2 linked regions of the Macaca mulatta genome follow. Each later gene encodes a partner of the first gene's protein in a complex. Links are inferred from orthologs where the notes say so. Each region holds a gene or a part of one and is shown in the gene's direction. Other genes may lie near its edges. The genes, in order: STAT2 and IRF9.

What was found.
Region 2: the proteins of STAT2 (region 1) and IRF9 are in contact, whole or in part, in a crystal structure (PDB 5OEN), measured with the Mus musculus proteins. The link is inferred for Macaca mulatta from reciprocal best matches to the Homo sapiens genes STAT2 and IRF9. Residues at the interface, in NP_064347.1 of Mus musculus: Arg163, Gln164, Lys166, Asp167, Glu168, Asp170, Val171, Phe174, Arg175, Thr177, Val178, Phe179, Leu181, Lys182, Asp188, His190, Gln191, Gln193, Gln194, Leu197, Thr201, Lys204, Met208; in NP_032420.1 of Mus musculus: Leu206, Leu208, Tyr212, Leu233, Asp234, Arg236, Ser244, Glu245, Ser246, Ser247, Met248, Asp270, Arg271, Leu274, Val275, Ala276, Asn278, Ser279, Arg280, Phe283, Val284, Gln285, Leu287, Cys313, Glu315.

The regions. Positions count from the first base shown.
Region 1 is NC_133416.1:63,515,264-63,523,191, reverse strand, and holds part of STAT2 (signal transducer and activator of transcription 2), read left to right. Parts: intron 1-627; coding exon 628-786; intron 787-887; coding exon 888-980; intron 981-1,191; coding exon 1,192-1,251; intron 1,252-1,647; coding exon 1,648-1,668; intron 1,669-1,890; coding exon 1,891-1,984; intron 1,985-2,445; coding exon 2,446-2,493; intron 2,494-2,573; coding exon 2,574-2,657; intron 2,658-2,846; coding exon 2,847-2,945; intron 2,946-3,047; coding exon 3,048-3,183; intron 3,184-3,302; coding exon 3,303-3,355; intron 3,356-3,481; coding exon 3,482-3,576; intron 3,577-5,467; coding exon 5,468-5,604; intron 5,605-5,798; coding exon 5,799-5,981; intron 5,982-6,214; coding exon 6,215-6,272; intron 6,273-7,928. UniProt on the Homo sapiens protein: Signal transducer and activator of transcription that mediates signaling by type I interferons (IFN-alpha and IFN-beta).
Region 2 is NC_133412.1:97,281,029-97,288,244, forward strand, and holds the end of IRF9 (interferon regulatory factor 9), read left to right. Parts: intron 1-415; coding exon 416-599; intron 600-829; coding exon 830-960; intron 961-1,328; coding exon 1,329-1,407; intron 1,408-1,510; coding exon 1,511-1,582; intron 1,583-2,061; coding exon 2,062-2,403; intron 2,404-2,504; coding exon of another isoform or gene 2,505-2,631; exon of another isoform or gene 2,632-2,703; intron 2,704-3,292; coding exon 3,293-3,408; intron 3,409-3,567; coding exon 3,568-3,642; coding exon of another isoform or gene 3,643-3,701; 3' UTR 3,702-3,958; downstream 3,959-7,216.

The DNA.
Region 1 (7,928 bases):
AAAAAAAATATATATATATAATTTAGCCGGGCGTGGTGGTACACACCTGTAATCCCAGCTACTCAGGAGGCCGAGGCAAGAGAATCTCTTGAATCCAGGAGGTGGAGGTTGCAGTGAGCCAAGATCACGCCATTGCACTCCAGCCTGGGCAACAAGAGTGAGACTCTGTCTCAAAAAAAAAAAAAGTGTGAGTTGTACAATGGGACTGCCTGGGATCACATACAAGCTTCATCCCTTACTAGTTGTATGACCTTGAGCAAGTCACTTAACCTTTCTGTGCCTCAGTTTTATCATCTGTAATGTGGGGATAATAATAGTACCTGCCTCAGAGGTTGTTTTGAGGATTGAATGTGTTAATATGTGGAAAGGGCTTAATATAAGTTGTACATAGCATATGAAAGCTGTTATGTTAAATCTGTTAGCAGTTTTATATGTGAAAATAGCTTCGATTTTCATTTCTTAGATTATGAATCATGTTGAATAATCCTTTATACGCTTCCTGGATTCTTCTCCCCCCACCCCCAAGTCAGTTTCTGACTCTTCACATATTTATGGAGAGGTCTTGGAACCTGGATGGGGGAATCCAGGAAACTCATGGATTCCTTCTTCCTGAATTTTATCACCCAGGTTCACAGCTGGAGCAAAGCTGTTGTTTCACCTGAGGCAGCTGCTGAAGGAGCTGAAGGGACTGAGTTGCCTGGTTAGCTATCAGGATGACCCTCTGATCAAAGGGGTGGACCTACGCAACGCCCAGGTCACAGAGTTGCTACAGCGTCTGCTCGACAGGTCTAGAGGCCAGGCAGGAACCCTGGGGGAAAGAAGGAACAAGGGAAGCCATTCTTACAGATACTGAGCTATATATTCTTTCCACACCTCTCTCTCCTCAGAGCTTTTGTGGTAGAAACCCAGCCCTGCATGCCCCAAACTCCCCATCGACCCCTCATCCTCAAGACTGGGAGCAAGTTCACCGTCCGAACAAGGTTGGCATTCCAGAACTCATTCCTGCTTGCTTTTTCCAACCCTGCCACTTTGTATTTTCTGGCTTTACAGCTCTTCCCACTCTTGGCTTTTTCTTCTCTCTTTCCTCTCAGTCTCCCTACCTCTTATAATCCCTCTTCTCTTTCTCAAACATCTGGCCTATCCAGAAGGTTGAGGTTGACCACTTTCCCCTATCCCCCTTCCTTCCCACAGGCTGCTGGTGAGACTCCAGGAAGGCAATGAGTCACTGACTGTGGAAGTCTCCATTGACAGGTAAATTGGAGCAGGTGAAGGGTGGCCAGGACATGGGCTGCTGGGGTGAAGGAGATACTCATTCTTCACAACAGGGTCTAGGGCTATCTTCTTCCTCCTTCCGTTCCTATCTCATAGAAATTATAATTCAATTCTTTTGTTGAACACTTACTTTGTGACATGCAGCATGTCAGGTACTCATTTAATTGTCACACCAACCCCATGAATTAACTATTACCGGTGCACCGTACAAACAAAGATACAGGCTTAGAGAGACTGATTACATCTCTTCTCAAGACCACGTAGCTAGTGAGCTCAAGTCAGGTTTGAACCCAGGTCTATCTGATCCCAAAGACCAAACTCCTAACTTCCATACTCTTTTGCCCAATGATTTTTTTTTAATTTATTTCTTTTCAGGAATCCTCCTCAATTACAAGGGTAGGTGCTTGACAAGGACACTGCAAACATCTGTACACTGCACGACCTGCAGAACCACATTCGGCATCCCTGGTGGCACAAACAAGGAGGAGGGGGATTTGGGATATGGACAAAGGGAGATGGCGAGATCTGAAATGAAGTGGAACTTCTGTTTTTTTTTCTGCTGAGTTTTTAGAGTAATTCCGTTCCTTATCTCCATATATCTTCTTCCTCCTGGAACAGCTTCCGGAAGTTCAACATTCTGACTTCAAACCAGAAAACTTTGACCCCCGAGAAGGGGCAGAGTCAGGGTTTGATTTGGGACTTTGGTTACCTGGTAAGAATAGTTTGTGACCTATGCTTTTATTACTATTTTTATTTTTTTTGAGATAGAATCTCACTCTGTCCCCCAAGCTGGAGTGCAGTGGTGTGATCTTGGCTCACTGCAACCTCCGCCTTCCAGGTTCAAGCGGTTCTCCTGTCTCAGCCTCCTGAGTAGCCGAGACTACAGGCACACGCCACCATGCCTGGCTAATTTTTGTGTTTTTAGTAGAGACAGGGTTTCACCATATTGGTCAGGCTGGTCTCAAACTCCTAACCTCAGGTGATCCACCCGCCTCAGCGTCCCCAAGTGCTGGGATCACAGGCATGCGCCACCACACCTGGCCTGCTTTTAGTCCAAAGGAACAGGGGTTGGGGGAAGTTCCCAGGGCTTGAGGAGTCTTGAAGCCAAACAGGAGTTCCGGGGACCCTAGGGTGCCCACTCTGGCATTTTCTCTCCTTCCCCTCAATTCACAGACCCTGGTGGAACAACGTTCAGGTGGTTCAGGAAAGGGCAGCAATAAGGTGAGGCCAGTACAGAGGACTCGGGGGCAGGGGGAACTTGCCAAAGGGCCTTCTGATGACTATGTCTTTGGCTGTCCCAGGGGCCACTAGGTGTGACAGAGGAACTGCACATCATCAGCTTCACGGTCAAATATACCTACCAGGGTCTGAAGCAGGAGCTGAAAGTGAGTGAAAATGGAGGGCAAGGAGAGAGAAAGCAGCTTTGGAAGAAGGCATAAGGAGGGGATAAAGAAGAAAGAAGAAAGGCTTCTTTGGAAGAAGCCTCTTGGGGTGGATTAGCACTCCTTTCCTCTAACAAATACCTGCAACTAGAAACGTCACATCCCTCTGTGTGACTCCTGTCTTCTCCCCAGACGGACACCCTCCCTGTGGTGATTATTTCCAATATGAACCAGCTCTCAATTGCCTGGGCTTCAGTTCTCTGGTTCAATTTGCTCAGCCCAAACCTTCAGGTAGGGAGTGGGGCCGACAGGTCAAGTGGGGAGAGGAGGGGTGTGGAAGCTTGGTGTGATAGGCTTCTTCTGAGCCAGCCTGCACTCCTCCCACCCCTGCAGAACCAGCAGTTCTTCTCCAACCCCCTCAAAGCCCCCTGGAGCTTGCTGGGCCCGGCTCTCAGTTGGCAGTTCTCCTCCTATGTTGGCCGAGGCCTCAACTCAGACCAGCTGAGCATGCTGAGAAACAAGCTGTTCGGTACAGATTTCCTTTTCTCTCAACCTTTCCCCAGCCTTAGTCTTTCCTGTCCCTCTGTCCTATCTATCCCAGGACCCCTGGCTTCCCTCATCATCTGTCTGTGGCTATCTGTCCCACAGGGCAAAACTGTAGAACTGAGGATCCATTATTGTCCTGGGCTGACTTCACTAAGGTAACTCCCTGAATTCCTGTGGAGCTAGATCTAGCCCACATTCCAAATACTGGCCTTCCCATGTTCCTCCTTCCCTACACCAGGGGCAACTCCTCAGCTCTTGCTACCTTTCCATTCCTCCTCCAGCGAGAGAGCCCTCCTGGCAAGCTACCATTCTGGACATGGCTGGACAAAATTCTGGAGTTGGTACATGACCACCTGAAGGATCTCTGGAATGATGGGTAAGGCCTTGGTCCACTTTGTCTCCTGGGCTTGTGCTTTCTGGGCTTGAGAGTGGAGTCTGTGCGCCCTCATGTGGCAAGCAGGGAGAGAGAGCAAAGACAGGCGTGAGGCCATGTCTCCTCACATTTGTTAACAACGATAGCCATAGACAGTGTTTGTGAAGCATCTCCTGCATTCCAGAGCCTGATGCGCGCTCTTCATTAATTCTCTCATCTCATCCTTATGACTATGCTGAGTGGTGGGTTTTGCCATCTTCATTTCAAGTGAGGAAACTAAGTTTCAGAGAAGTTAAAGAACTTACCCAAGGGACAGAGTTGATATTCAAACCCAGGCCTATGTGACCCCAAGCTCATGCTCTTTTCACCACACTGCCTACCAATTTGTGTAGCATTTGGCTTTTAAAAGTGCTATTCATGCCGGGCGCGGTGGCTCACGCCTGTAATCCCAGCACTTTGGGAGGACGAGGCAGGCGGATCATGAGGTCAGGAGATCGAGACCATCCTGGTGAACACAGTGAAACCCTGTCTCTACTAAAAATACAAAAAATTAGCCAGGCGTGGTGGCGGGTGCCTGTAGTCCCAGCTACTAGGGAGGCTGAGGCAGGAGAATGGCATGAACCCGGGAGGCGGAGCTTGCAGTGAGCCGAGATCGCACCACTGCACTCCAGCCTGGGCGACAGAGCGAGACTCTGTCTCAAAAAAAAAAAAAAAAAAAGTGCTATTCATGACCAGGCGCGATGGCTCACGCCTGTAATCCCAGCACTTTGGGAGGCCGAGGTGGATCACCTGAGGTCAGGAGTTTGAGAGCAGCCTGGCCTGTAACATAGTGAAACCCCATCTCTACTAAAAATACAAAAATTAGCTGGGCATGGTGGTGCGTGCCTATAATCCCAGCTACTCAGGAGGCTGAGGCAGGAGAATCGCTTGAACCCAGGAGAGAAGGTTGCAGTGAGCCGAGATCGTGCCATTGCACTCCAGCCTGGGTGACAGAGCGAGACTCCATCTCAAAACAAAACAAAACAAAAAAAGTGCTATTCATGGCTGGGCGCAGTGGCTCACACCTGTAATCCCAGCACTTTGGGAGGCTAAGGCAGGCAGATCACCTGAGGTCAGGAGTTCAGAACCAGCCGGGCCAACATGGTGAAACCCCATCTCTACTAAAAATAAAAAAAATTAGCCAGGAACGTTGGCAGGCCTGTAATCCCAGCTACTCAAGAGGCTGAGGCAGGAGAATCGCTTGAACCCGGGAGGTGGAGGTTGCAGTGAGCCAAGATCATGCCATTGCACTGTAGCCTGGACAACAAGAGCAAAACTTGGCCTCAAAAAAAAAAGAAAAAAAAATGCTATTCATGGCTGGGCACAGTAGCTCATGCCTGTAATCCTAGCATTTTGGGAGGTTGAGGCAGATGGATCACTTGAGCCCAGGAGTTCAAAACCACCCTGAACCACATGGTGAAACCCCGTCTCTACAAAAAATACAGAAGTTAGCCAGGCATGGTGGTGTGCACCTGTGGTCCCAGCTACTCTGGAGGCTGAGAGGTGGGAAGATTGCTTGAGCCCAGTAGGTCGAGGCATGGAGGCAGCAGTGAGCTGTATCATGCCACTGTTCTCCAGCCTGGTGACAGAATGACACCCTCTTTCCCAAAAAAAAAAGAGTGCTGTTCATCTGTGTGATCTCACTGAATCTTCGTACCTCTTCAAACCCTCGGAAGGTCGCTGTTGTCAGCAAAGTGAAGTGACTTGTAAAAGATAAAAAAGCTAAGTGGCAGAGCTTGGTCCAAAACCTGGGTTCCAAACCTAGGCTATTTCTCCATACAAGGGGAGCAGGGAGGCAGGGGCCTGGTGGGGCAGGGGGTTGGGGGACGGCTCACAGCTGCTCTTTGTGCTCCAGACGCATCATGGGCTTTGTGAGTCGGAGCCAGGAGCGCCGGCTGCTGAAGAAAACCATCTCTGGCACCTTTCTACTGCGCTTCAGTGAATCGTCAGAAGGGGGCATTACCTGCTCCTGGGTGGAGCACCAGGATGATGGTCAGCTGCTGTGCCCTGCCATTCCCACAGCCTCTCCTTTCTGCCTGGCTCCCCTCTTGCCCCTCTGCCTGCCCTTGGCTTCCCTGGCTCTGTCCTGCATCCCTCAACCGGTTTGGGACTGGGGAGCCAGAGCAGGGAGCTCCAAGGCCCGGCCTCTTCCCTCAAGCCTGCCTGTTATTGCATTCACTCTCCAGACAAGGTGCTCATCTACTCTGTGCAACCGTACACCAAGGAGGTGCTGCAGTCACTCCCGCTGACTGAAATCATCCGCCATTACCAGTTGCTCACTGAGGAGAATATACCTGAGAACCCACTGCGCTTCCTCTATCCCCGAATCCCCCGGGATGAAGCTTTTGGGTGCTACTACCAGGAGAAAGGTGGGAATTGTTGACATACTTCATTGCTAGATTGCAGAGATCTTCAGACATCCATAGATCCCACTCCTTCCTTTCAAGCATGGGAAGACTGATATCTAGAGGAGTTAAGGGATTTGTCCATGGGATACTGCTGGTTCCTATGGGGATGAGACTGCCAGGACCGTCTGAGGGGAACCTCAGGCTATGTGTCTGGCCCACTGATCTTCTCTGCTTCTTATATATGTTCCTCACAGTTAATCTCCAGGAACGGAGGAAATACCTGAAACACAGGCTCATTGTGGTCTCTAATAGGTGAGATATAAACTCTCCACCCATCCTCCCTAGTCCTTTTTGGCTGTGCTTCAGTGAATTGTCAAAAGGGGGCATTACCTGCTCCTGGGTGGAGCACCAGGACGATGGTCAGCTGCTCTGCCCTGCCATTCCCACAGTCTCTCCTTTCTGCCTTCTCCTAACGTGCCCCTATTCCAGTCTCCCCAGCCTTCCCTCCCTCCTAGCCCACTCTAGTTTTTTCCAGTTCTAGTCTCTCCTATCTCATATTTTTCTGCTGCCATCCTTAGGTTGTCTCCACAGGGGTTTCTGGATAATAATGATCATAATGACTGGTGTTAATGGGCACCTACTTGATGCCAAGCATGGAGCTTTTTTTTTTTTCCCCAGACAGGGTTTCGCTCTGTCGCCCAGGCTGGAGTGCAGTGGTGTGATCATGGCTCACTGCAGCCTCGACCTCCTGAGCTCAAGCAATACAGGCATGCATCACCAAACTCAGCTAATTTTTTGTGTGTTTTTTGTAGAGATGGGGTCTTACCATGTTGCCCAGGCTGGTCTTGAACTCCTGGACTCAAGCAATCCACCCGCCTTGGCCTCCCAAAGTGCTAGGATTATAGGCATGAGCCACCACGCCCCGCCTATATATATTTTTTTTGAGACAGGGTCTCTGTCACCCAGGCTGGAGTGCAGTGGTGCAATCATGACTCACTGCAGCCTTGACCGAGGGGTTGAAGTGATGCTCCTGCCTCAGCCTCCCAAGTAGCTGAGACTACAAGCACACACCACCACACTCAGCTAATTTTTAAAATTTTTTGTAGGGATAGGGTATCACTATGTTGCCCAGGCTAGTCTTCAACTCCTGGCCTCAAGCAGTGTCCTGCCTTGGCCTCCCAAAGTGCTGGGATTATAGGAATGAGCCCTGGCACTTGGCTGGGGATAGTTTTTTTTTTTTTGAGACAGAGTCTCGCCCTCATTGCCCAGGCTGGAGTGCAATGGCGCAGTCTCAGCTCATTGCAACCTCTGCCTCCCAGGCTCAAGCAATTCTCCTGCCTCAGCTTCCTGAGTAGCTGGGATTACAGGCTAGCGCCACCCATGCCTGGTTAATTTTTATTTTTTTTGAGACAGAGTCTCGCCCTGTTGCCCAGGCTGGAGTGCAGTGGCATGATCTCAGCTCGCTGCAACTTCCACCTCCCAGGTTCAAGTGATTCTCCTGCCTTAGCCTCCCAAGTAGCTGGGACTACAGGCACGCACCACCACCACGCCTGGCTGATTTTTGTATTTTTAGTAGAGACAGGGTTTCACCATATTGGCCAGGCTGCTCTCAAACTCCTGAACTCGTGATCCGCCCACCTTGGTCTCCCAAAGTGCTGGGATTACAGGCGTGAGCCACTGTACCCGGCCTAACTTTTGTATTTTTAGTAGAGACGGGGTTTCACCAAATTGGCCAGGCTGGTCTTGAGCTTCTGGCCTCAAGTGATCTGCTCGCCTCAGCCTCCCAAAGTGCTTAGATTACAGGTGTGAGCCACCGTGCCTGGCCTGAAAGTTTATTTTGTGCCAGGCACTAGGCTAAATGGTTTATGTTTATTTTCTCATTTTATTGAATCTACAAAATAGTCCTTTGAAGTAAACACTGTTACTGTTTTCAGCTAAGGAACTGGATTTAGAGTAGTCAAGTTTTGT
Region 2 (7,216 bases), on another chromosome or scaffold:
CCAGCACTCTGGGAGGCCAAGGTGGGTGGATCACGAGGTCAAGAGATCAAGACCATCCTGGCCAACATGGTGAAACCCCGTCTCTACTAAAAATACAAAAATTAGCTGGGCCTGGCGGCGCATGCCTGTAGTCCCAGCTACTCAGGAGGCTGAGGCAGGAGAATTGCTTGAACCAGGGAGGCAGAGGCTGTAGTGAGCCGAGATCGTACCACTGCACTCCAGCCTGGCGACAGAGTGAGACTCTGTCTCAAAAAAAAAAAAAAAAATTCTGGGGATTTCAAGATGGCAACACAGAGCACAGACCCTGCATGATCCCTTCTGAGCTTAGAGCTGCACGCCCATAAAGCCAGTCCTGTTGGAGGGGCAGCTGGAGCCTGTAACACACTGCCTCTTTTTCCCTTGCTTTCTTTCCTAGGCCTGGGCAATATTTAAGGGAAAGTATAAGGAAGGGGACACAGGAGGCCCCGCTGTCTGGAAGACTCGCCTGCGCTGTGCACTCAACAAGAGTACCGAATTTGAGGAGGTTCCTAACAGGGGCCGCATGGATGTTGCTGAGCCCTACAAGGTGTATCGGCTGCTGCCACCAGGAACCTTCTCTGGTGGGTTTCCCCTTGCCCAACCACTCCTAGACTCAGCAGACTGGGGAGGAAGGATAGATGTGCGGGCTTCCCCCAGGCTTCTCATAGCTCTGCCTTGTCCGTGCCCTTGGGGGCTGCTACCCAGGTTTCCCTTCCTAGGCTTGCGCATTCTTCACTGCCTCAGACCTCTCCCTTACCCTCTGTCCCTGCTCAAGACCCTGACCTTTCTGTCTCCCTCAACAATTCCACAGGCCAGCCAGGGACTCAGAAATCACCATCAAAGCGACAGCACAGTTCTGTGTCCTCTGAGAGGAAGGAGGAAGAGGGTGCCATGCAGAACTGCACACTCAGTCCCTCTGTACTCCAGGAATCCCTCAATAATGTAAGAGATGGAAAGGGAACTGGGCGGGCCTGAGGGCAGGACAGTAACTAGAGGGAGAGGTGGGCCAATGAAAGACACTGTGTCTTGGGAGGCCAAGGCGGGCAGATCACCTGAGGTCAGGAGTTCGAAACCAGCCTTGACCAACATGGTGAAACCCCGTCTCTACTAAAAATACAAAAATTAGCTGGGTGTTGTGGCATCTGCCTGTAATCCCAGCTACTCAGGAGGCTGAGGCAGGAGAATCGCTTGAACCCAGGAGGCGGAGGTTGCAGTGAGCCGAGATTGCCCCATTGCACTCCAGCCTGGGCAACAAGAACAAAACTCTGTCTCAAAAAAAGAAAAAAAAAAAAAAGACACTGTGTCTGCAGGAGGAGGAGGAGGCCAGTGGGGGAGCACTCCATTCAGACATCGGGAGCAGCAGCAGCAGCAGCCCTGAGCCACAGGAAGGTACCACCTGCCCTGCCTCTTGTGTTGTCCCCCATGCCACACCCTCTGGCCCAAGACTCCCCAGTCCCACTCTGAATGACCAGTGCCTTTGCTTCCCTTCCAGGTACAGACACAACTGAGGCCCCCTTTCAAGGGGATCAGAGGTCCCTGGAGTTTCTGCTTCCTCCAGAGCCAGGTACATGGCATTTCTGACTTTCTCCTGTGCCCTGTGCCCCGAGGTCTTCCACCTTTGACTGTGCATGCATTATCTAGTCAGTCAGGGCTTACAGCAAACTGTGCCCACATTACCATAGCCCAAGGCACTGGTTTCTAGGTGGCGAGAATTCCACATGCCTGGCCAGGCTCCAAAAAGCTTGCTTCCCAAAAATATCACCCTATACACTCTCCTGGAAATCTACATTGAGACGTTGATTTCATTGGGCCAAACAGAGGCCCAATCTCAAGGGACCTTCTAGTAAACTACAAGCCCCTGGTCATTAAACCCTGAGGCCTCATGGTCAATCACATACTAGCTACTTGCCTGAGTGACAGGAAAACCTGAGAAGAAGTCCCCTGGCTGGTGCAGGGAGGGAAGGTGGAGCTATTCCCCTGGGGAGGGGCTGCTGCCAGCCTGCATGCTCCTCCAGCACCAAGTAGGGCTGTTCTATTCCCCAGACTACTCACTGCTGCTCACCTTCATCTACAACGGGCGTGTGGTGGGCGAGGCCCAGGTGCAAAGCCTGGATTGCCGCCTTGTGGCTGAGCCCTCAGGCTCTGAGAGCAGCATGGAGCAGGTGCTGTTCCCCAAGCCTGGCCCACTGGAGCCCACGCAGCGCCTGCTGAGCCAGCTTGAGAGGGGCATCCTGGTGGCCAGCAACCCCCGAGGCCTCTTCGTGCAGCGCCTTTGCCCCATCCCCATCTTCTGGAATGCACCCCAGGCTCCACCTGGGCCAGGCCCACATCTGCTGCCCAGCAACGAGTGTGTGGAGCTCTTCAGAACCGCCTACTTCTGCAGAGGTGAGGCTGCTCTCTCTGGGCACCTGAGCTCCCACCCCCTACCTCTTAGTACCCCCTGGGCCCAACTTGGTGGGTCCTGCCACTTCCCTATCTGCCAGCAGATCCTCCATGTAGCCTATGCATGGCACTCCTGCACTTGTGTGGTGCACATCCTGTGTGGTCATATGCCCAGCCTGGCAGCTACCTGGCAGCTCTCCTCCAGCCAAGACAATGGAAGAGGTGGTTCAGGTAGAGCCCAGCACAAGAGTCTCGTATCTTCAAGAACACCATCACAGTGAAGCATGCAGTCACTATGTGAAGGTGCACAGAAGAATTGGCACAGAGATTTTGAGCTTCATGGTCTTCTCCTATATACACAGATTTGGGAGAGCTGGCACACATCACACACTCTGGCCCTGGCTGCACTGTCTCTACTACAGTCCAGGCATGCCTTAGGGTTGCGCTTCTCTCCCATCCAATTCCAGCTCCTACTCAATTCTAAACCTGACCTTAAGAGTGGGACCAGGTGTACATGGGTGCAGAGTGTGGGTGTTCCCAGCACCATGGGTACCCTAGCACTGGAAGGGTGTGAGCAAGCAGCAAAGGTCTGGGCACATCTGTGTTAGCAGCCAGGGCTGCTGCCCGGGAGGACTCTAAACTCTCCCAGCAGAGAGCTTTTTCAGCTGTGCAGTGATCTACTTCTAAGCACTTATTTGAGGCAGGGGCACCCTTTCCCTATTTGCACACGGGTGAGTAGCATTTAGTTCCAAGTACTTCTGACCTTGCAGCTCCTGCTGTGGCAGGACCCCCTCCTACCTCTCTCCATCATTTGTTTCTCACTATTGCCTCCCTGCCTGTGGCCCTCTCTTCTTTTTGAAATTCTTCCAACCCTTGACCCTTTCTCTTTCAGACTTGGCCAAGTACTTCCAGGGCCTAGGCCCCCCACCGAAGTTCCAAGTAACACTGAATTTCTGGGAAGAGAGCCGTGGCCCCAGCCATACTCCACAGAATCTTATCACAGTGAAGGTGAGCTCAGAGCAGGGGCAGAGTACCCATCTAATGAGAGCGGGGGCAGTGGTACTTCAGGAGGCAAAGGGGGTTTCCTAGTGGGGAAGGAGCTCCTGGGGGTGGTGTCTGTCCCTGATGCACTCACTAAGACACTCTTCTCCATCTCTTCCAATACAGATGGAGCAGGCCTTTGCCCGATACTTGCTGGAGGAGACTCCAGAGCAGCAGGCAGCCATTCTGTCCCTGGTGTAGAGCGTGGGGTACCCATCTTCCACCTCACCTCTTTGTTCTTCCTGTCTCCTTTGAAATAGACTCATTCTTCACACGATTGACCTGTCCTCTTTGTGATAAGTCTCAATAGTTGTCTGTGATAATTGTATCCTGAAAATCCTCGCACACACTGGTTGGTGGAGCACTCAAGGCTAATTTTTTTTCCTTTTTTTTTTTTTAAATTTTGACATATACACCCTCTTTCACCTGTAAGGGACTGGGAAATTCCAAATGGTGTGAACCCAGGGGGCCTCTCCCTCTTCCCTGACCTCCCAACTCTAAAGACAAGCACTGCCGGGCGCGGTGGCTCACGCCTGTAATCCCAGCACTTTGGGAGGCCAAGACGGGCGGATCACGAGGTCAGGAGATCGAGACCATCCTGGCTAACATGGCGAAACCCCGTCTCTACTAAAAAATACAAAAAACTAGCCGGGCGAGGTGGCGGGCGTCTGTAGTCCCAGCTACTCAGGAGGCTGAGGCAGGAGAATGGCGTGAACCTGGGAGGCGGAGTTTGCAGTGAGCTGAGATCCGGCCACTGCACTCCAGCCTGGGCTACAGAGCGAGACTCCATCTCAAAAAAAAAAAAAAAAAAGACAAGCACTTTATATTTTCCTCTTAGATATTCACTAAGGATTTAAAATAAAATTTTATTGAAAGAGGAATCAGTATCTGATTTTCTGGGAGAAGAAGGTAGCAGTGGTCACAGATAGAGATGTAAACTTAAGAGTGGGGCACTGGGGTTCTCTTCCTGCTGACATCTCCAGCCTTTTTCCTCTCCTCTGCCCACAGGTTCTGGCTAATATGCTATCTGGGCCCTGTGGGTCCTGGGCCTGGCACTCTATAGAGGTACCCTCTGGGCAGACAAGATTAGGGAGTGGGTTGGGATAGGCCATCGAAAGGGGCATCAAGCCTTCAGCCAGGCACTATAGCCACCAACTTCACATGGTAAAGTCTGGGCTTCATAGTTCTTGCTAGAAGGCCTCAACATCGGGCCTGAGGTTAGACTGGAGGTCTAAATGAAGAGGAGACACTTGAAGGTGACCTAAAACTATGGTCTAGAGGCCCTGGGGCCTGAGAACAGAGGAGTCAGAGCGAAGAGTTGCTAAACCTGTACCTGTTGTTACTGGCACCTCTTCCTCCAGCACAAATTTCACCGTCACCCCAGCAGGGTACTCCCAAACTGGATTCCTTGCTCTATCTAAGCCCCATAAAAGACACTCTGGCTGGCTGGGTGCAGTGGCTCACGCCTATAATCCCAGCACTTTGGGAGGCCAAGGTGGGTGGATCACTTGAGATCAGGAGTTTGAGACCAGCCTGGCCAACATGGTGAAACCTCATCTTCTAAAAATACAAAAATTAGCCAGGCATGGTGGCGGGCACCTGTAATCTCAGCTACTTGGGAGGCTGAGGCAGGAGAATCGCTTGAACCTGGGAGGCAGAGGTTGCAGTGAGCCAAGATTGTGCTACTGTACTCCAGCCTTGGCAACGAGCAAGACTGTATCTCAAGAAAAAAAAAAAAAAGGCACTCCGGCCTAGACTGCCATGTCACAAACATGCTGTTCATGAGACTTGAGGGCTCCAAATTGGCTGACACTCCTTTCCCTTTCCCCTGTGTTCATTTTACTACCAAACTGGAAGGTTTTTCCTTCACCACAAGGCCACCTGTCACCTACTTTTTTGTACACTCACTTCCAGCAAACTAGTTCCAACCCAGGCCACAGCCTTCAGCTTCCTTCTTCCTGCATATGACACCAGCTTAGCTTTCCAGACTTCCTCCTGTCATTTCACTCTTCAGCCCTCAATGGCTCATACACATGATCAAATCTGGATGCCTAAGTCCTCCTAGGACCTTCTTGCTGCCTCATTTGGCAAGCTTCAGTGCTGCCTTTGAGCCTCCCTGCCTCCATGGACCTCCCTTCTTCCCTTCAGTCTTGTCCATCATCCCCCTGGGAAGCCAAGTGCCTAGACAGGCTCTGCACTAGCAGTAAAGAAATGAGGTACTGAGTGCAGACTTGTACAATCCCTGTTGTGCCCTCAATGTGATGCAATGTGATGAAATCCCTCCTGGACCTTCTTTGTACAAGGTCTAAATTATCTCCTTGACTTCCATTTTATTTTATTTTATTTTATTTTTATTTTTTTTTTTTTTGAGACGGAGTCTCACGCTGTTGCCCAGGCTGGAGTGCAGTGGCGCGATCTCGGCTCACTGCAAGCTCCGCCTCCTGGGTTCACGCCATTCTCCTGCCTCAGCCTCCTGAGTAGCTGGGACTACAGGCGCCCGCCACCGCGCCCGGCTAATTTTTTGTATTTTTAGTAGAGACGGGGTTTCACTGTGGTCTCGATCTCCTGACCTTGTGATCCGCCCGCCTCGGCCTCCCAAAGTGCTGGGATTACAGGCTTGAGCCACCGCGCCCGGCCGACTTCCATTTTATTTTAATTCTTTTAATTAAAAAAAAAAATTGGCTGGCCATTGAGGCTCATGCCTGTAATCCCAGTAATTTGAGAGGCCAAGGCGGGTGGATCACCTGAGGTCAGGAGTTTGAGACCAGGATGGCCAACATGGTGAAACCCTGTCTCTACTAAAAATACAAAAAATTAGCCAGGCGTGGTGGTGGACACCTGTAATCCCAGCTACTTGGGAGCCTGAGGCAGGAGAATCGCTTAAACCCAGGAGGTGGAGGTTGCAGTAAGCCGAGATCGCACCACTGCACTTGAGCCTGGGCAACAAGAGCAAAACTCCGTCTCAAAGAAAAAAAAAATCCTTTTTCAGCTGGGCGCGGTGGTTTACACCTGTAATCCTGGCACTTTGGGAGATCGAAATGAGAAGACTGCCTTAGCCCAGGAGTTTGAGACTAGCCTGGGTGACATAGTGAAAACCTACCTCTACAAAAAAATTCTTTTTTTCTTTTTTTTTTCTTTTTGAGACAGAGTCTCACTCTGTCGCCCAGGCTGGAGTACAGTAGTGCAATCTTGGCTCACTGCAACTTCCACCTCCTGGGTTCAAGTGATCCTCCTGCCTCAGCCTCCTGAGTATCTGGGATTACAGGTGCACGCCATGATGCCAGGCTAATTTTTGTATGTTTAGTGGCAGAGTTTCACCATGTTGGCCAGGCTAGTCTTGAACTCCTGACTTCAGGTGATCTGCCCACCTCAGCTTCCCAAAGTGTTGGGATTACAGGTGTGAGCCACTGTGCCTGGCTCCCCAAAATTCTTAAAAATTAGCCAGGGGAGGCCAAGCACGGTGGCTCACACCTGTAATCATTGCACTTTGGAAGGCCGAGGTGGGTGGATCACTTGGGGTCAGAAGTTCGAGATCAGCCTGACCAACATGGTGAAACCCCATCTCTACTAAAAATATTTTAAAAATTAGCTGTGCATGGTGGCACATGCCTGTAATCCCAGCTACTTGGGAGGCTGAGGCAGGAGAATCGCTTGAACCCAGGAGGCAGAGGTTGCAGTGAGCCAATATCGTGCCATTGCATTCCAAGCCTGGGCAACAAGAACGAAACTCCATCTCAAAAAAAAAAAAGTGAAAAAAAAAAAAGAAGCCAGGTGT